Arabidopsis thaliana: one gene and its partner. The protein of the gene in region 1 interacts with the protein of each later gene in a pairwise test. Each region holds a gene or a part of one and is shown on either strand. Other genes may lie near its edges.

Evidence for each region.
Region 2: the proteins of TEM1 (region 1) and AT4G25400 interact in a two-hybrid assay, tested with the Arabidopsis thaliana proteins (one large-scale study listed by BioGRID).

The regions. Positions count from the first base shown.
Region 1 is NC_003070.9:8,977,645-8,988,670, reverse strand, and holds TEM1 (AP2/B3 transcription factor family protein), read left to right. Parts: upstream 1-5,356; 5' UTR 5,357-5,694; coding exon 5,695-6,780; 3' UTR 6,781-7,115; downstream 7,116-11,026. Other genes in the region: AT1G25550 (myb-like transcription factor family protein), read right to left, coding at 10,729-10,986. UniProt on the Arabidopsis thaliana protein: Transcriptional repressor of flowering time on long day plants. Acts directly on FT expression by binding 5'-CAACA-3' and 5'-CACCTG-3 sequences. Functionally redundant with TEM2.
Region 2 is NC_003075.7:12,975,522-12,985,808, forward strand, and holds AT4G25400 (basic helix-loop-helix (bHLH) DNA-binding superfamily protein), read left to right. Parts: upstream 1-5,515; 5' UTR 5,516-5,704; coding exon 5,705-5,875; intron 5,876-6,066; coding exon 6,067-6,459; 3' UTR 6,460-6,715; downstream 6,716-10,287. Other genes in the region: SAP10 (stress-associated protein 10), read right to left, coding at 415-807; AT4G25390 (Protein kinase superfamily protein), read left to right, coding at 1,970-3,925; AT4G25410 (basic helix-loop-helix (bHLH) DNA-binding superfamily protein), read left to right, coding at 10,251-10,287.

The DNA of each region.
Region 1 (11,026 bases):
AATATCATACAAGTGGAAACATATAAATATATAACAAAAAGAACAGGGCAACTATCGATGAATTTGCTAAATGATCCTAAGTACTTTACAAAACAAAATTGATCTTAAGCAAACAGACCTCTTATTTTTGCATGGTTTGACCAAAATGATTTTTTCATTTAAACATAATTGTTGTTATTTTACTAATTAGTAACGTGCAAATTTACATTTGACCGTGTAAACAGTATCATCAAATAAATAAGAATATACAAATTTTATATTATTGTTGAATAAAATAGTGTGGTTTCAGGTAAATAACGTTTTATCGAGATAAAAAACATGTTATTTACTTCAAAATTATTTGAATAATTGTTATTGTAAAGAAATAGATGTCCAAATCCAATATCACTCTCACCGCCCTAGTTAAGGGTGTTTTCCCTACTAATAGATATTCATAGTTATTTGGTTATTTGAGATTTCAGTAGATATAAGTCAGAAGCTGGCAATTTCTTATGAGATATTCTATTATTTAAGCATGACATGATGATGTGAATAAAGAAAATATATGCTACGTTGTTCTTTCAATTTATTATTTCAACTAAATTATGTTTTCATGGTATGCAGTTATACTCTATGTTTCAGTTTGACATATGATATTTATCTGAGCTACTAATAACATTTCCTGCACTTTTTAATCTGTATTTGCAAAATGGTTTCAACACGATTTCACTCAAAACAAAAACAAGTGTCACTAAAAGTCTTAACCAATGGCGAGTTGGCATAAACATCCAAAGCCATTCAGGTCGGATCAGGAGCCGTCGTGGATCGCACCAATGGTTACGATTCTCTGGATAGTGTTGTTCCTTTACTGGTCAACAAAAGCAGTCTCCTTTTTTTATTTTCACATGTGTTTTTTTTAATAATATTTTTAAATTTTAATTGCTCACCAGTCACCACTATTCTATAAATATCAATATTAGTAGTAGTTTAATACCTACTATTTTATTTCAGGACAGCCTAAAATAGTTAAAATTAAAGTTCTACGTATTGTCTTCCTCATTTTAAAGGGTCATCTTGTCCTATCTGGCTTTTTATATATATAATTCTTCTTAATACTTACTCTAACAAAAAATATAAAAATAGCTAAACCTTAGTCTATAAATTTAATTATCATATGGTAAAATTTTCTCATCAATCTGACGTTGTTTACACCTTTATGAGGCGTCTATGCAAATGGTTAATTTAGTTCGATAATATATTTTTTCATTATAATGCAATATCAGATACTCAAATTTAATTACGTGATTTTGGTCGTGCTATATATATTTACCAGTGAAAATCAAAATTTCATTACTCAAACTTATTAAGATCTAGAGGGGTTGGAAGTCAGAAAAGCAGATATTATAACATTTAATAACACATTTTCATTCAAGTAAAAAAAAAATTAGTAACAAACCATGGAACCCTAAATGTGGAAATTATTGAAAATTAGTTTTGGTTTTGTTTAGTTAGTGGAAACTGGAGATTGATTAATATAATGGGGTTGTTTACTCATGATTTACTTTGCACAAACGAAAATTTTCGTTCCCCTTAGTCCTTACCTACTGTCTGTTTTGAAATTTCCGCATTTGACAAAAGTTATATGTGATTGAGTTTCATTAGAATAACTCAATAGATACTTTTATATATGAAAATATACTTTTATACTTAATTATGTTAATAATGACTATCTCTCTAACTGGAAAATGGAAACTATACAGGATTAATATGTTAGCAAGAGGAACATACATTCATTATATTAAGCATGATACTTTATGAACAACTAACTTTTTTTTGTTGATCACATGGAACAACTAACTTTATCTAAACAATATTATACAATATTATATATATATAGGTCAATTATATCATAAAAGTTGGCCAAAAGATGGCTTTAGTATGCGCCTAAACCCATCATACTGTATTATGAAAAAACTGTTCCGGCAACTAGTATTTTTTTTGTTGCAAAAGACATTTCGCCAACAGTTCGTCATTTTAATTGATATAAATGGTTGAAATTTGTTCAAGAGGAGAAAAAAAAAGGAGGTCAATTGACTTAATTAGTACCATAAAAATCTGCAAAAATGATCAATTAATTGCAAATAAAATTGCAATTGATTTTTTTTGTAAAACTTCCCCATAATTAATTAATCCGTCAAAACACATCACAACATCACAGTTAGAATTATAAAATGGCATAGTATAAGGAGCTGATTTGATCGGGAATTAAAACTATAAATACATCAATTAGGTCTGCAATAATGATTTTTAAAAATTAGGTTTCCAGTGAGTTGGTTATATACTTATATAAATAGCATGCTTAATATCACGTTTTTTATTTATAATTAAGAAAATGTGGGGAGCCACACACTAAATGATTTAATACAACTTAATTAGTTTTGGTAAGGTGGCCTAAGTTAGGCCATGTTATTAAATTACTACTCCACTGGATTTGAGTTGATTTGTTTGGCCAACCTGATTATCCCCAATACAAAAATACTCTCATGTTATTATAGACTGATATATCTGTGAGTAATGTATATATTATTCTCTTGATTATACCAAAATGGAAGATAAGAATCTAAAATGAACGACTGAGATGGAACTGTAATATTACTAAAAATAGGATGAAGTTTGGGTCCAGATAGAAGAAATTATGAGGAGGATGGTGCTGAGTGCTGACCTTTTCGTCCTTGGAAACATATCTCACTCGTTGTCTTCCCACTTGCAATATTGCATGGCCCAATTCTTCAATGAAACGACACCGTTTCCAGTTACACCAAACCCTTCTCAACTAATTTATGTTATGTGGCAATCTTGCATGTTAATTACATGTATTCAACACATGAGTCTATCTATCTTCCGATTAATTTTCCACCAAAAGTGATATAACTTTTGATAATAATTGAGACGGACCAACATTGTATTTTTAGGCAAACGCAAATTACTGTTTAATCGAAATTTTAGATAAAGTAAGGTAAGATCAGACCAAAAAAACAAAGAGCCTACTATTATAAAGTTTCGACATAAGAAGGTCAATGATGTGGATGATATAACCAATTGCAAGTTAATGAGACGTGATACATAAATTTCCTTAAATCTAAACTTGTATCCGGTGGTACTAGATTTAAAATATCCTTATAAAGTTCGTTGATATATACATACACACCAAACTCATTTTAGCTTGTTGTTGTTTGATAAAGATCCAAGATAATATGAAATCACTTTTTAAAAATTAATCTATTTAATGTCACACATCAACTATTTTATCTTTCCATTTCAGAATTTTGATTTTTTTCGGTAGAATATAATGGAGCTCTGATGAGTATGTGACCCACTAATCAAATGGTTCATTGACTAGCTCGGTTTTAAGCTTTAAGTCCTTGAGATCATTATCTTCAACAGAAGACTTATAAATACTATTTTATTTGAGGAAATGATAGGGTTATTCAACAAGTATATATATGCTCATCTTTTAAAAAGGGGATAAGTATTACTTTTGTTTCAAACAAAATGGATAAACATCTGAGGGAAGAAGGTAGGACCAATATAAAAGTGGAAAAATTAGGTACTCTGCTCCGTACAAGAATATGGCTCATGGGCAAAATACATTGGGTTTATGATTCATCTCCCCCCTTCACATATGTACAATGTATTATATCATGTTGTTCTTCTTGTCCCCATTCTTGATATCTTAAATATTTAAGTCCAATTCATATAATTGAGCAATAATTATGTTTGAACTCATTAGTTATTGCTTATGAAAACTGATCAAAACAACAAAAAGTTGACGTTTTAAGTTTTGCATTCAAACTAGGGCAACTGTGTTAGTTTTATCTTCGACGACGTGGATATAAGTTTTTTAAAATTATGTAGGTATAATAAATTAAATAGAAAGAAAAAAACTATATAATGAAACAAAAGAGAAACAGAGGAGAGTTTGATGGTTTAGGACGAATCTGGTTTATTTAGTTCAGCCAATAAAAGCATAGTTCCAATGCAAGTGGGAACATCAACTAAGTCTCACTACTTTTTAAAATAGTCGAATAAATCTGCATGCAGTACTTTGTTATGCGTATATAATATCAAATAGTAGTACAATTTGATAAAAATGTTATATGTTTAATTTGGTGGATCATAGAAGGATTAATTTTTATGATCAAATAACGAAGCCACGAAGAACTAAATCTGACCGTTTGATGCTTATTCGAGAACTATAACAATATTAGGACGTCATTCATGTATCTTTATTAAAAATATGTGATCTTAAACAAAGCTTCGTGCATAGATAAGAAGGGACTAGTCACTCTAATAAGATCAATAAGATATGTTGTTTCTCTTTGTAAACCGAAAATAGTGGGCAATTAGATCACGAGTCTTGGCTTTGCTGGCGTATTCCAACGTTGTCTTATCATTATCTCAAAATATTATTATAGGTCGTCTCATTTCATACCCGTCAAAATAATAGTTGTTCTTATATGTTTCGAACAAGTCACTTTAGGAATTAGGATGGAAAACATATCCTATTTGAGTGGTATTGGTTAATTTGAGAAATTGAGCGTAAAGGAAGACAATGCGTAAGAAAGGCAACAATACGTACTATGATTCTACGTACAAAGAAAGTGCTTAGGGGATAAAAACCAAACTAGGTAAGGACTTGTAGGAAACATAAGAGAACCTAATGATCAAGACCTCCCCAACTAAAGCAAAATATGTAAAGAGACACGTCATGTTCCAAATATGGAAGGACGAATATAGTTTCAAGAAAAGCCTCATGATCAAAGGGGGGATGCACTATTTAATTAGAGAATCACAACAAAACAAAACAAAAGGTCCAAATCTCATGTGAACCCCCTTCCCACTTGGCCCTCTATTCTATCCCCATTTGTGCTATTACACATCGCCCATTACTCATTTTTCTATCTCTCAACGAGTCAACTCTATTCAATAATTTTACATATCTTTCTACTACTATTCTTGTATGGACCATTCGATTTTTGGAAACTTCTTTTCTCTTAAAAAAACATCAATAATATCGGGCGAAATGTCAAATGTGGTTTTTCTTAGCCCTATTTACCATTCTTAACCACATCAAGAATCTCATTGCTAGTGTTGTAATTATTCTTTGTCCTTTAGTGAAAACATTAAGAAAAATTCATCTATTGATGTTCACGTTCTCTGTAAATTTTTTATAGACGCATGTTACACGTAATATATTATTAGTTTATTACCATATGAAGGGACTAATTATGGCAACAACAAGATTATAAAAAAAGGACTAATCAAAAGGTACCAAAATTAGTACGAATGTAATAAATAAAATAAAACTTTATGACACTAGCACACATATTTTTGGACTCTTCCCACGAAACTTCCTCTACAAAACACATTTTGCCATTTGTTGCAAGACTTGACCCTACTCCTCTGCACCTCTTCTCCTTTCTCTTTTATTTTATTTTCACCTTTCTTTCATAAATACACATACATTACCCACATTTTACATTTATCTCTTATTATCCTATTCAATTTTGACAAAACAAAACAAATAATATCAACAACGTACATGCACTTCCTTGTGTATATATATAAACTCCAAACCCCATCTCTTCATAAAGCAACAAAAACTTAACCCATTTCTTCTTCTTTTTTTGTTTCTCTCTCACAAACACAACAAATATGGAATACAGCTGTGTAGACGACAGTAGTACAACGTCAGAATCTCTCTCCATCTCTACTACTCCAAAGCCGACAACGACGACGGAGAAGAAACTCTCTTCTCCGCCGGCGACGTCGATGCGTCTCTACAGAATGGGAAGCGGCGGAAGCAGCGTCGTTTTGGATTCAGAGAACGGCGTCGAGACCGAGTCACGTAAGCTTCCTTCGTCGAAATATAAAGGCGTTGTGCCTCAGCCTAACGGAAGATGGGGAGCTCAGATTTACGAGAAGCATCAGCGAGTTTGGCTCGGTACTTTCAACGAGGAAGAAGAAGCTGCGTCTTCTTACGACATCGCCGTGAGGAGATTCCGCGGCCGCGACGCCGTCACTAACTTCAAATCTCAAGTTGATGGAAACGACGCCGAATCGGCTTTTCTTGACGCTCATTCTAAAGCTGAGATCGTGGATATGTTGAGGAAACACACTTACGCCGATGAGTTTGAGCAGAGTAGACGGAAGTTTGTTAACGGCGACGGAAAACGCTCTGGGTTGGAGACGGCGACGTACGGAAACGACGCTGTTTTGAGAGCGCGTGAGGTTTTGTTCGAGAAGACTGTTACGCCGAGCGACGTCGGGAAGCTGAACCGTTTAGTGATACCGAAACAACACGCGGAGAAGCATTTTCCGTTACCGGCGATGACGACGGCGATGGGGATGAATCCGTCTCCGACGAAAGGCGTTTTGATTAACTTGGAAGATAGAACAGGGAAAGTGTGGCGGTTCCGTTACAGTTACTGGAACAGCAGTCAAAGTTACGTGTTGACCAAGGGCTGGAGCCGGTTCGTTAAAGAGAAGAATCTTCGAGCCGGTGATGTGGTTTGTTTCGAGAGATCAACCGGACCAGACCGGCAATTGTATATCCACTGGAAAGTCCGGTCTAGTCCGGTTCAGACTGTGGTTAGGCTATTCGGAGTCAACATTTTCAATGTGAGTAACGAGAAACCAAACGACGTCGCAGTAGAGTGTGTTGGCAAGAAGAGATCTCGGGAAGATGATTTGTTTTCGTTAGGGTGTTCCAAGAAGCAGGCGATTATCAACATCTTGTGACAAATTCTTTTTTTTTGGTTTTTTTTCTTCAATTTGTTTCTCCTTTTTCAATATTTTGTATTGAAATGACAAGTTGTAAATTAGGACAAGACAAGAAAAAATGACAACTAGACAAAATAGTTTTTGTTTACATCTAATTTAGGATCTGTTTTTTCACCCTTTCCTGAAATATGATATGTGTTCTCCTCCTTAATCTAATAATCTTGTTTAATCTTTGGTTTATAGCCAACTTTATAGCATATTTTTCCAATTGAAATAGAGTTGTTATGAGTATATAATCCCACACTAATATTTATGCATTTACTTTCATATATACATAATATACATTATTGGAGAAAAATATCTTATACGATCTATAAGAATAGTATAATTAAATGTCAACATGTCCAATTAAAACATGGGTGCGATTCGAAAATCTATTTATGTGGTTGAGATGCTTAAGCGGAGAACAACGTCGATCGTTCAAAGATTTTGTACGTTTCTTAAACTAAGTTTAAAAACTGTTTTTTCGTGTACGATTTTGGGGAAAAACACTGACCAAAATAATTAAGAACATGCACGGAATCTAGATTACGATTTTAGAACCATTGTTATGTTTAATAGAAATACATCTCGAAGTTGATAATTATTTTTCTTATGCCTTAAGATTCATGCATCTTATTTATTTCACGAAGTATAGTTGTGTTTAAAAAGAATCAATTAGATCTTAAAGGCTACACATGATGTATGTGGACACTCGCATATAAGTTCATATATTGTTTTTATCATGACAATAACCACAACTTTTTGTTTCTCAATCATTTAATTACTTACGAGACATGCATTGGCAAGATATTTATATTCACTGGAGTAATGTTGAAATTTAGTAAATAAAATGTACATAAATGTATTTTCAGAATAACAAAAAGAAAACAAAATCAAAAGATCATTTGTTTATGAATTTATTATCGTCAACATATATTTAGTACTAGTTACTAAAACTAAACATAATTTTGATAAAAATTAATCCTTATAACAAAAAACGTAAATAGCTAATGATTTTTCTGATTAAACATGAAAACATGGTTAAATGTTCTAAAACTAGTGTAATCCCTTACATTTAGTTGTTGAATATTGCTCTCAATTCTCATGACTTGGAGCCCATGATGTACAAAAAGCCCATGCTCATTTAAAAGCCGAACGTTTGTTGATTTTCTAATGTTAGCGAACTTGAAACCTAAAACTTGTGGGTTATGGTACCACTTGAGATGACACATATAATATAAGCCCAACTCATGTTAGTTAAATTGTGACTCATTTAGACGTCTTTTCTTGGGCCAAATTTTACAATAAACATCAAAATAAGATTTGTAGAAACATTCTGAATTTCTGAGAGTGACAAAATAAAAAAAAAATACTTGGCCTTATGGAATCTGAAAGAAGCAAAAGCCTTCAAATATTTCGAGATATGTGTTCATCGCTCGAACAGTACAAGTATTTTATTTTCTTGTATACTTTTGATTGAACCATTAGGCAGTAGATGTGCATTAAATTTTCAACGTAATTTTGACTATAAATGTACGCAGTAGCTCCACTTCAACAGAAACTAAGTAAGACGTACATGTTTGTCCGTCATGCATATAACTAGTTCTCGTTAGTATTTACATTAGCTTTTGTATTAGCAAACTTTGCATGATGAGATATTGTAATTTAGGTGGTTGATGGCGTTGGAATGATTTCTCATTGGAACGTTTTTCAACTTTCTTCACTTGACATTTATTTTCTACTATATATATATATATAACTTTTTTTTGAGTTCGCAACATCTCAAAATTAATTTGCTTTTAATAAGAGAAATATAAACTGGTATAAAGAACGATGTAACAAATGAAATGAGTATTAAAAATTTCTTCTTTTTACAAGAATCAATTTTTATGTTTTAGTTTCTCAATATATAGTCCATATTTTTGGTCACACTAACATGAATTTTTTCAATTAATAAATTAGAGTGTCAAAAAACTTCACCGAATTCTTACACAATTTGTTTTTTTAGCAAAATGCATGCTATCGGTAAAAAAAATCGGTGAAGTTTTTTTTTGCTATTTTTGCCATTTTTCAATAGTAACTTTTCCATTTGACGTTAACCTGACTAAATAATTTTAGATAAGTTAATTCTAAATCAAAGGAACCGAATCCATCATAATTGACCTAGACTATGACAGACATCGTATAACTAATTAAATAGACTAGAATCCCAAGCTAATGAATAATGATATGCCACATCTCAGCAAAGTCTAAGAGCAAAAGATGAATGCATTAACGTAATTTAGAATCCATTGACTCGCCCTAGTGACTAGTATTTTTATTTTATTTTATTTTGGGACAAAATCCCTAGTGACTAGTATAAGATACGAATACACACCAAAAAAAAGTATAAGATACGAATAAACAAAGTTTATGCTATTATTTTTGTCGCAATTTGCTTGGTTTACTAAGGGAAAGGCTGACAATCTTGTCTACATTTTGGAAGAAAAGATTCAAATTTAAACCAAAAAATATCTAATATCAAAACATATCTTCTTCATAAATAAATAGGTGATGGTTAGCTGTATTTGAGGTAAAGGGAGGGCCACTTGGCCTTTAGGAGAAGGTAAGGGTCAGCAGCTTTGTTAATCCAACCTCTTTTTAGAGAGGTGTTTAACGCAATTTCAAGATATTTGAATCCGATGATATTTATCTCCTGATTACATGGATCACTGTCTTTGTATTTCAAGATATCCGTTTGAAAATAGTAGGCGTTACATGTATTCGTTTATAAAAAGTAAGAAGTATTTTCTGAAATTGTAATTTATTGAAAAAATCACAGTACGTTACTACGTTTCATAGAATACCCATGAACATTTTTGATATAGTAATGTAGTATATGTTCAACAAGTCATTAACATTGGTGATGACTTGTATTATTGATATATATGGTGGGGTAATGAATAATATAATGAAATAATGGTGAGCTGAACAAAAATATTGTGAAATTATCATGAAAATGAAAAACGTTCGATTCGTTTACAAGAATGATACCAAAATGAAAAACGTTCGATTCGTTTTACAAGAATGATACCAATAACTTTTTTTGTCACAAGAAGATATTAAGATAACTTCAAAGAGCAGAGAATATCGAAACTTTTTTTAAAAAGGCAGAGAATATACTTTGGACAGCACTGATATCATTTTTTTCAAAAGAAAATGTATTTGGTAAGGAATCATTTTTCTTGTGATTCTTTAATCAGTTGCATGAAAAATGCCAAAACAAATATATGCTTCTTCTTTTTTGAAATTCAGAATATTCGGCCACGGGGACCACACACCTCAAAACGAAAACAAACGAGAAATGGAATTTTAGACAAATTCTAGTACACGATACGACCCATATTATTTGTATACTATTCATTGATTGATTAATTTGAGCATTAAGAATCTGGGTTGGTCGTTATTAATTGTTTAATTAATCACCGGCTTGGAAAAAATGATTATCCTTTCTCTCTCAAATGGGTCGTTGGTCCTCCATTCCTTCATGAACACGTTGCCACATGGAAACGTTATGAAAGCGCGTTACTACTTACCACAATGGACCAGAAAATTCTTAAAGTTACGTCTTTGTATTAAATTGCACAATTCCATTTATATAATTCACCAAATCAGATGTTGAATTTTCTTTCCCACATATGAAGATCATTTTCTGATATGTAGCCATATCAAGACGGAATCACTCACCCAAAAAGGCAAAAGCCAATAGTATTATCATAAAACTCGAAAGAAATATCAAAACTTTTTCTTTTATTCAATTGTGTGCAATGTATATCTATTGTTACAATTTATTCAAAACTCTTAAACCTAGAACGAACATTCTTGGTTACAAAACAAATATATAAAGAAGAAAACAAATTTTCATACAAATCGGTAACTATATATTTATGAAAGAGGAAGAAGGTGTGGTGTGTGTGTAGTAGTAGAAGATGTTGCGGGAGATTTGCAACCCCGATTGCTTCTCTCTCCCGACGTTGAAGATTGCGGCGGTTGTGTCGCCACAGGAGCGTAAACTCTATTATTAGTTGTATCGTGTGAAGGTACCCAAATGCCTTCCATCACCATAAACTGCCGTTGTTGTGGATTTTCACCACCGGTCCTTACTACCGGAGTAGCTGGTCTTCTTGTATGCAATCTATATTTCTATAAAAATCAAGAAAGTTGATAAAAATTATAGAACTAT
Region 2 (10,287 bases), on another chromosome or scaffold:
TTCGTCTAAGCTCATAAGATTATAATATACATAAAACGCATTTGAAATCACGAATCCAATTTGTAGTTAATCCAAGCATATGTATAAACAAGCGTTTTAATGATTTGTTGTGATATTATGGATTTCATGTTCACAAGTTTTTGCAGTGTGATACAGAGCCGATACGTTTTGTTTAGGGTTTGATCAGTGAGTCGTGACAATAAAGTTTTGACAAAGTTCAGTTTTGTTTCTAGCTTGTGAATTTTTGGTTAATTTAATTGACCATTGAAATGGAAAGATGGCTTGCTTGTTTTGAATCTCTCTTCAGTTCAGGGTGTTTTGTTTAGCTAAAAGAACTTATATTATTACTGGTACAAAGAATTTAACAACATCAAAATCTTAGCCAAGGAATCTAAACATCTACGACACATATCACTAAAACCTCTGCAACTTGTCAGCTCTGATCAAAGGCAACTGTGTGGCCAAGGCGAGCCGTCCAGATTGTTTGTAATCAAAGGGACAAGAATGCTCCTCCGGATAACGATGTGACCCGCAAAACATGTGTCCACATCTACACTTGAATCCCAACATTCCTACCTTCCTCTTACATATCCCACATCTCCTTTTTTTGACCGGTTCTTCTTCAACGGCGGGACTATTCGTAGGAGGGCAACACTGTGATTGCTCGGTCTCGGGTTCGAATCTTAAAGCGGGCGAGTGTTGAAGAACACTCTTTTTGTAGCAGAGAGAGCATAGATTGTTGTTCACTCGGGTGCCGTAGAGTCCACAGCCTCCCTCGCATGGTAATGCTTCTGTTTCGTTCACCATCTTCTTTCTTCTACTTCTTGCGATAGTTGTTATATGAGAGTCAATATAATTCAATATTTTGTGTGAGCTCTATCAATGACTCTAAAATCTAAATATATAGAGGATGTCTATTGTTCTTAGTTCTTCTGGAATTGTGTAGTGCAATTAAGTTTCCCTTTTTTAATACAATTCGGTAAGTGTTTCCTCTTTTGTAATAGTCATCTACGTTCGATAAGTGTTTGCTAACGATTCTTATTGCAAGTTATTGATTTTCCTTTCCTCATATAACTAAGAAAGGAAAAGTTACAATAGAAACGCTGAGAGATATTTCATAATAAGGAAACTGAGAAGACGTGTTTAATCCTCTTCGAACAGTCATAAATCCAATAAAGAAAAACGTTGACTAATGTAAGAAAAAAAAGACAAACCAAATAAATAACTAATCCAACTTGATGATAATTTAGACAACAGCAGCTTCCTGGTAGTTTCTAAAACGTCGGTTCGTTTTCTAAATACAGAAAAGAGTTGCGTGCCGTTTTCACTATCTTAAGGAGTAATTAATTAGTTTCAAGTAAAATACCAAATTAGACAATTCCACATGGTGATCTTTGATGGCCTCCCCACCACCGCACGTGAATTTGGAATACCTTGTTTAGTTTCATTATCAAATTACACCTAAACGCGTTACTAATTAAATTATTTATTGTCTATCAAAAAGCCACGCAACAACAGTCTAGCATTTAAATCTTCACGTGGGTCTAACCCGGTTCCGGTTTCATTATCCGGGTATATGTTTTGGCTTCGTCTGAATTTGAATTTGAGTTTTCTCATTCAAAAAACGATAAATAAATAAAATATTGGTCAGTTATTCTTTCTATGGTTCTTGTTTGATATAGAAAGAATAACAGGTTTTGGATTTGTCTGTGTGTTTGGACTTTGGATTAGTATTCATTCGGTTTAACCAATCAAAATTCGCAACCTTAACACGTTATAAACCATGATGTAATGATTTAATCAATGATCAATTAAATGTATAGAAATTTATTTTCCATTTCCGCAACAGCTCAAAACGTTTTCTCTCTTTTCCGATTTTAGTCTAAAAACTGAAACAAACACAAAAAGCAACAATTTGTCTTTGAAAATCTCCTCTGTGTATGGTTCAGCTTCGGTTTACTAAATCTCTATGCCGTCACGATCAATCTCGGCACCGGTTCCGGTTCTTGCTCCGGCTCCGATCGTTTCCTCTTTAGTCCCAGCAGCGCCGTCAGGACATCAGAATAAGACAACGCGAATCTTTCCACCGTTCGTGGTGGCTGGAGCCGGCGCCGGTTTCTCTCTTTTCATCACTCTCTCCGTCTGTTTCTGTAAATTCAGCCGGAAACGTTCATCACCTCCGGCGGAAAACGCTTCCTCTTCGCCTCGGAGACCGTCGCCACGTGAGTTTTCATATTCGTCTCTCCGTCGCGCCACCGGTTCTTTCTCGCAGGCGAATAGACTAGGTCAGGGCGGATTTGGCGTCGTGTTTCGTGGAACTATCTCCGGCGGCGAGAATGTAGCTGTTAAAGTAATGGATTCAGGATCTCTTCAAGGAGAAGGTGAGTTTCAGAACGAGTTGTTCTTCGCCGCCAAGCTTGACTCGCCTCACGTTGTCCCTGTTATTGGTTTCTCTCATGATCGAAAACGACGACGTTTGCTTCTTGTTTACAAGCTTATGGACAATGGTAATCTCCAAGACGCCTTGCTTCACCGGAGATGCCCTGAGCTTATGGATTGGAATCGGAGGTTTTTGGTTGCCGTTAACATTGCCGATGGGATTAAGCATCTTCATAGTCTTGAACCACCTGTGATTCATGGTGATATTAAGCCTAGCAATGTTCTATTAGATAGTCTCTTCTCTGCCAAAATCGCTGATTTTGGTTTGGCTAGGTTGAAAGCAGAGCAAGTGGAGATTAGTGTAGCTCCGGAGCGTGATGGTGATGGATCTATGGTTGAAGAAGTAGAGAGTGTGGTAACTACTGTGACTGGTTATGAAGATTTTAACTTTGGGTTGGTTGATCAGTCTCCGGAGAGTGTTGCTAAGGTTCCTGGGTCTGTGAGTGCTTCTCCTGAGGCGACGACGGTTGTCTCTGTTTCTCCGGAAATGGGAGAGAAAACGGATGAGGATGGTGGTAGTGTTGTGGTGATGAAGAAGGGGAAAGAGAGTGAGAGCAAAGATTGGTGGTGGAAGCAGGAGAGCAATGTTGAAAGAGGGAGAGTGAAAGAGTATGTAATGCAATGGATTGGTTCAGAGGTAAAGAAGGAGAGACCAAGCAGAAGTGATTGGATTGAGGCGGCAGCTTTGTCTTCTTCGTCAAGTAAGAAACTTGAGAAGAAGACTAGCAAGAGACTAGATTGGTGGTTGTCATTGGAGGAAGAGGATGAGAATAAGAAGAAGAAGAAGCGGAGGATGGTTAGAGAGTGGTGGAAAGATGAGTATCGTAGAGAACTCGCTAAGAAAAGGAAGAAGAAGAAGAAGATGACTTTAGAAGCCGAGTTTTGTAGTGATGATGGGAGTAGTAGTGTGAGTCAATGGCGGCGTGGTAGTGGTAGTGGTAGCAGCATAGATTGGTGGTTAGATGGGTTAAGTGGTGAACGATGGTTGAGAGCAAGGGGAAATAGCCATGACTCGGTGAGCGGTGAGATAGCTAAGAGCTGCGGAATTAGTAGCACGCCGAGCATGAGAGGGACTGTGTGCTATGCAGCTCCTGAGTACTGTAACTTGGACAACAACGTGTCAGAGAAATGTGATGTCTATAGCTACGGTGTTCTGTTGTTAGTTCTGATTTCCGGGAGGCGCCCGTTGGAGATGACGGGCTCCGCGAGTGAGATACAACGGGCAAACCTCATGTCTTGGGCGAGGAAGTTGGCGAGAAGAGGAAAACTTGTTGATCTTGTGGATCAAAAGTTGCAAAACTTAGACCAAGAACAAGCAGTGTTGTGCATAAAGGTGGCTTTGTTGTGTCTGCAAAGATTACCGATTTCACGACCGTCAATGAAAGAGGTCTTGGGAATGCTTAAAGGAGAAGTGAATCTACCAGAGTTGCCTAGTGAGTTCTCACCATCGCCACCATTAAAGACAACGAGGAAGCAGCGCCGTTGACTAATTTAGGAATCATTTTGATTATTATTATTCAAGTGTTACACCGCTAGTTTTAGGAACTTTGATTCAATTTCACTATACTTTCCAATTTCTCTTTCTATAGTTTCACACGCATTATTGACATTGATTTTTTTTTTACACGTTTATACTTCGATGTCAATATGTCATACAACACTTCTTCAAATCGGAGTTGCTCGGGATTGGATTATTAGCAGAAAGAAAAGGCTAAAACTTTTTCCACCTCCAAAAGTCATTTAAAGGTCACACAAATCCTATGGGCCTAATCAGTTAACAAACCACTTCCAATCGAGTTAAATGAAATGAAGATACCAAATTGGGTCACGTTAGGAGTCAGCAGTTTGTGTTCTTTATATATGGACATGGGCCATCTTCGATTTTTCTTATTCGTTTCTACTTAAAATCACCAAGATTTATTGAATTTTTCTTCTTATTATTATTTGGCCCTTATATAGAGTATGGTCTATCCATAATTTGGCCCAGTTTTTTAAAAATACTAGATATTTGGAACATGCATGCTTTTTATTTTTAAATGTATCAGATTCAGATGAAACTCAATTATTAAAAAAAAAATCATACATAAACAGTTTAAAATATTTACTACTACTTAATTATTTTCGGATTAAGAAATCCCTTATAACATTTCATAAAACATAGTATTCTGCATTTTTTCAAAAAGTTGTTGTAATGTTTAGAAAACAAATTGAAAATGCAACAGTTTTTAATGAATAAATGCAAGGCGTTATAGAATGTTGGTTTGTTTTTCATTTTAAGTGTTTTTCAATATTTTAAATAATAACAACAACAAAAATCATTTGCTTTCGACTAGAAACAATGACTTATATCATTGCTTATACGAGTGCATGTTACAATCGTATGTGGCGGTTAGTCATCCTACTTGGCTCGATCGATGGTGTATTTGCTGAGGAAAGGGCTTTGTGTTCTGATTAAATTTGAGTTTTGATGGTAGTATGGCTTGAGTAAAGGTTGAGGATGTTGTTTCATTTTCATATGTCTGGCTCTTTCACCTCTTTGGTGGGTATGTGTTGTATCAAACAATCGTCTCTTAATACAATACCAGTTGACAAAAAAAGAGCAGTAACTAATTCTTATAAACTATAGTACATTATTTCCTATATATTTTATAACATAAAATAAATCATATTTTCTCATAATTTAAAGTGCTATTCAATGATTTTTAGGAATACGATCCAGCATATGGCCTTGCAGTCTATAGTATATATAAAAATAATTATATGGTACCTATGTCAGAGATATCTAGGATATATAGTAGATCGTCGTACAATTGATATATCATATAGTATGTGTATACAATAAGAAAATAAACATATAAATTGTACGATCTCTAAAGAATACTTTAAAAATGATAAATATTAAGATATGGAATGTTGAAGGGAACCTATTAAAAAGAGAAGAAATTAATGATGAAGCAGAAAGACGTCATTGCTTACCCTAACAAACCTCTCTCTCCATCTTTTTCCGATACGTCTACCAATAACTTAGTATTTTTTTCTCTTAGTTTTTAATATTATAACCAAACCCTTTTACTATCTTTTTTCCGACTCCCATATCTTTTTTTTTTCCGACTCCCATATTATTCAACTTTACAACAAATCCCTGACTAGAGCAAATCCCAGAGCACAAGATCAGATCCTTCTGTCTCATCATCATCATCATTATTATAATCATAATTACAAGAAGAATCGTTGTTCAAAATAATTAACGTATAACGACTTCTAGATGAATAATTTTCAGGAGAAGAAAAGAAGGCGTAGTAAAACGCCGAGAGTTTGTAATAACGAAGAAAACATGGAGAAGTTAGTACATAAAGAAATTGAGAAACGAAGGAGACAAGAAATGGCTTCTCTCTACGCGTCTCTCCGCTCTCTTCTCCCTTTAGAGTTCATCCAGGTCAAAACCCTAATTACTCTTGCTTTTAATTTCTTCCTCTTCTTCTTCTTTTTTTTTTGTTAAGGAAAAAGTCCACAAGTATGCTTTGTCGCTTAGTTTGTTAAAAAGATTCACTAGAACTCTAACACTCTATCATCACAATATCTCAAGTTGACCTCTACACCTTAATTACGTTTGATTTGGTTTTGTAGGGAAAACGTTCAACGTCAGATCAGGTGAAAGGGGCAGTGAATTACATAGACTATTTGCAAAGGAATATCAAAGACATAAATTCCAAGAGAGATGACCTCGTGTTATTGTCTGGACGAAGCTTTAGGAGTAGTAATGAACAAGAATGGAATGAGATTTCGAATCATGTCGTGATTCGTCCGTGTTTGGTCGGCATAGAGATAGTGTTGAGCATTCTCCAAACGCCATTCTCAAGCGTTCTGCAAGTGCTTCGTGAACACGGTCTCTATGTTCTTGGCTACATCTGTTCCAGTGTAAATGATAGACTCATTCATACTCTACAGGCTGAGGTACAATATCTCGAGCTTACTAACTTTACAGCAATCGAAGCATTACTAACTTTACTAAGAATATAGAGAAATACTTAATCATAACATATATTTCTAACTAACTTTACTAAGAATATAGAGAAATACTTAATCATAACATATATTTCTAACTTTGTTAATGTTTTCGATCTTGTCGGCTTACAAACGCGTTTATGTCCTAATTTGGAATGGAATATAGAATATAGCATACATCTTCTTCATAGCTTTTTGGAATGGCTTATTGTATCAGAGTAATGAATATATATGTTTGAGTTAATATGTGAAGTTGATTTGCCTTATGTTGAGTTAATATGTGAAGTTGATTTGCCTTATGTTGCAGGTCAACGATCTGGCTTTGATCGACTTAGCAGACCTTAAGGATACACTTACCCTGATGAAGTAATTCAAATAATCAAACGTTTTTTTTCAGTAGATTCCTTTTAACTTCTCAAACCAAAACGATGTATATATATGGTTCTTAGTACTTTTACTGTGTATTTATCTAGCTACTTTAAAGAATTTGTGCGTAAGAAACTAATGCTAGCTAGCTTTAATATCACAACCATCTCTTACATATTATATAAACTATGGTCCATCTAAACTTTTTCTTTATCATTGATGTTTTGACTATCTTGTTTATTCACAGAAAAAAATCTTCATTTTGAAAATTTGATTAAATATCTTATGAAAACAAATTATCTTTCAAGAAAATATATTAGTTTACTCTATCTTTTGTTCATTAGGGACAATGACTATTATTTTGAGGATTACCGCATGAGGCCTTCTTATTTCTAGACGTCTCTGCTCCTATATATAAGTCATATAACATTCTTATCTGAAGATGTACGTAATCTGTCGAGTTAGGATATAATTAAGAGAATGGTGGAATTTAATTCGTACACATAGAATTAATGGTATAATTAATTTACTATTGTTGGTGTGAGTAGCATCAAATAGATGATAGAATAGTATTTTGAACAAAAATTCTGATAGATAGTATAAGCCTTCAAACTAAAATTGTTTCCGGACGAATACACGAAAAGAAAAATGAAATAATATTAACTTTCTAAAAACTCATCGATTGATGGGTATACACAAAATGGTTAAAAAGAAAAAAAAATGATTAACAGATTTTGAGATTATATAATACTGAAAATTTGAGTCGGAAATTGATTTGCAATATGCAAAAGACAAGAAACATGAGGCAAAGGAAAAACCATTTTTCAGAGAAATCTAAACATGTGAAATTCGTTTTTCTAAAAGTAACAATTTGCGAATTTATCAGCGACGGATATTTTTTAAAAATAATATGTAATGTTTCTGTTAGAAAGTACTTTTGGTTGACAAAAAGAACTGTTACAAACTTACTTTGTTGTGTACGCACTGTTACAAAATTATCAAATTTGAATCTTGAAAATGGTTAATTAGGGTTGTGTGATACGCACTCCAGATCTGTAATCACAAATTAGCTAATGACTATAAAGTCGATGCAAAAAGTAAAACATAGGGAATGTATATTATATGCCGCTTAGTTGAAAACCGCTACATATCTATGATCGATTTAAATATTTGAACTCTGGAACTGTTGACTTTTCTCTTAGACTTAAATTTTGGTAAACAATTTCAGCAACTAAAATGAGTGAGAAAACTTGGTTGTTGAAAAAAAAAGAGAGAGTGAGAAAACTTTGGTTTAGTTTTCTACAGTGACCAGCTTTGGGGTTTTGGGCGGAATTAATTAGCCAAGTAGGGTCTAGAAAATGTGATCTTTTAACACATGGCCAAAGTCGTTTATATTTGGTGATTCTGTTTAAAACTCACAATTTGTTTTTTTCTTTTCTTAAATTTTGAAATCATATCTATTTAGAACTAAAGTTCATCATAAATTTTGATGACCCTAATAAATAATATAGCGTCAATATAGAGAACTTAGCTGGAGATATATTGTAAATATGTTGTTGTAACGATCTATTACGAATAACTATTGAAATACAATACAATTATTTAAAAGAGCAATATATAATTGTATAATTTACCACATCATTAGGATACTTCGCCCCAAACACATATTTTAATTCGTTTGAACGAACTTAAATAAAAAAAATAAAAAAAATCATTGGTTAAAACTTTTTATTGCAGAAATAATTGGTTGTTACTGTAGAAATAGCGGCTTCTATTCGCAACCGTCAGATATACAAGTCTAAAGAGATGTCTTTAGTTTAGTCGTGACTCCTACAAGGCATGTGTGTACGATCGCCTGATAGGGAATAATTTAACTTTGCATAATCCATATTTTCCGACAATCATCGAGTTGACATGATTCGACATTTGGTCATACACGTAAATATAACAACGTGCTTCTAATTTTAATTTTATAAGATTAAAACTATCAGATAGTACTTTTTGGGATATAGGAAAAATGCATCTCATGTAATAAAACTATAGCAGAAACGTGTCTTAAAAATAATTTACATAATAAATAGTTAACTTGTTTTATCATGACTATAATATGCAAACATTATTGCGGTTGTACGCATGTAATAATATTACTGTATATAAACTGTTATATACCAGCTCTTATAACTTTAAAACTCTATCCATTTTCTTAACGTAATGTATAGTATAAGTGAATGAAATTTTTCTCTTTTTACAAATTTATCTGGTTTATAAAAGTTGCTAATATCAGGCATAATATGGCTTATGGCGTATATTGAGCATATCAGCATACAACACACATCCCTAAAGAAAAGACTTTGGTCAAACATCCAACGAGATTATCTTTTATAGTATAGTGGCTCTTAATATGCGTATATACATATATATAAAAAACAAGGGATTCGTGACAGAGAAGAAGGATTTGCTTTGCCTTGAAAGGATAACCTTTACCAAAAGGATTATTTTTTAATAATGGAAACTGTGGAGGGATGTCATGGTTTTTATATTCAAAGCATATTATATTGAAATAGTATCTTCTTAAGAACAGTATATCTTTAGCATTATATATCTGATACGCAATGGATATGGACGTTTAATAAACATGTGAAAAGACTAGTTGCAGTGTGAGCAGGTGCAAATAAAAAGAAAGGATCGGAGCCCACATGCGACCATCGCAACATCATCAACGGTTGAGATTTGAGGTTTTGTTTTCATGTATCCGAATCTTAAGACATGGTTGCACTTTCACGTCGACATTTGTCAAATAGTTATATTCTCCAGTTCCTCCTAGTTGTATGAGAATATAATTTTGTTTTAGAGAAAATGTGCATTATGGTTTTTTTTTTTTTCCAACAGTTTGCGTTTTAGATACTAATTCTGTATTTCATGGAAAGAGATGGATTCGCAATGGTATTTCACATAAAGGAAATTTTGTGTTGGATGATGGTATGACAAAAGCTGTTTGGAGGGTATAAATTATTAAGTTGACATTAATTTCAAAAATTTATAATTATGTGTTTTAATTCTCTTAATTAAATAAACTGTAGAGGATTTTATTTTGTTATGTATATATATTGACTATAAGTTGTATTCTACTAGTTTGTTACAAATCAAGCCCGAGGCTCATCCCATAAATGAAATAAAAAAAAACTGATAACTATTTCAATTTTATTTAAAAAAAAAAAAAGAGTAATTCCGTAACCTGCATTATTTGGTCCTCCTACTGTGTATCTATTTAATATTTAAATAATGGTCCTCCCTCTCACCTAAGGAGACATAGAGAACCATCTGGTTCTTTAAGGCACCATCATTCAACAAGTAAACAATAAAGGAAATTAAATTATCACAAGACAGAACCACAAAATCCTTTGGAGATCTGACACTGGTAAAGCTCAAAGTGTCAAACTATGGATCCTTATAAGAATCTTAATCCAAAAGGTTACC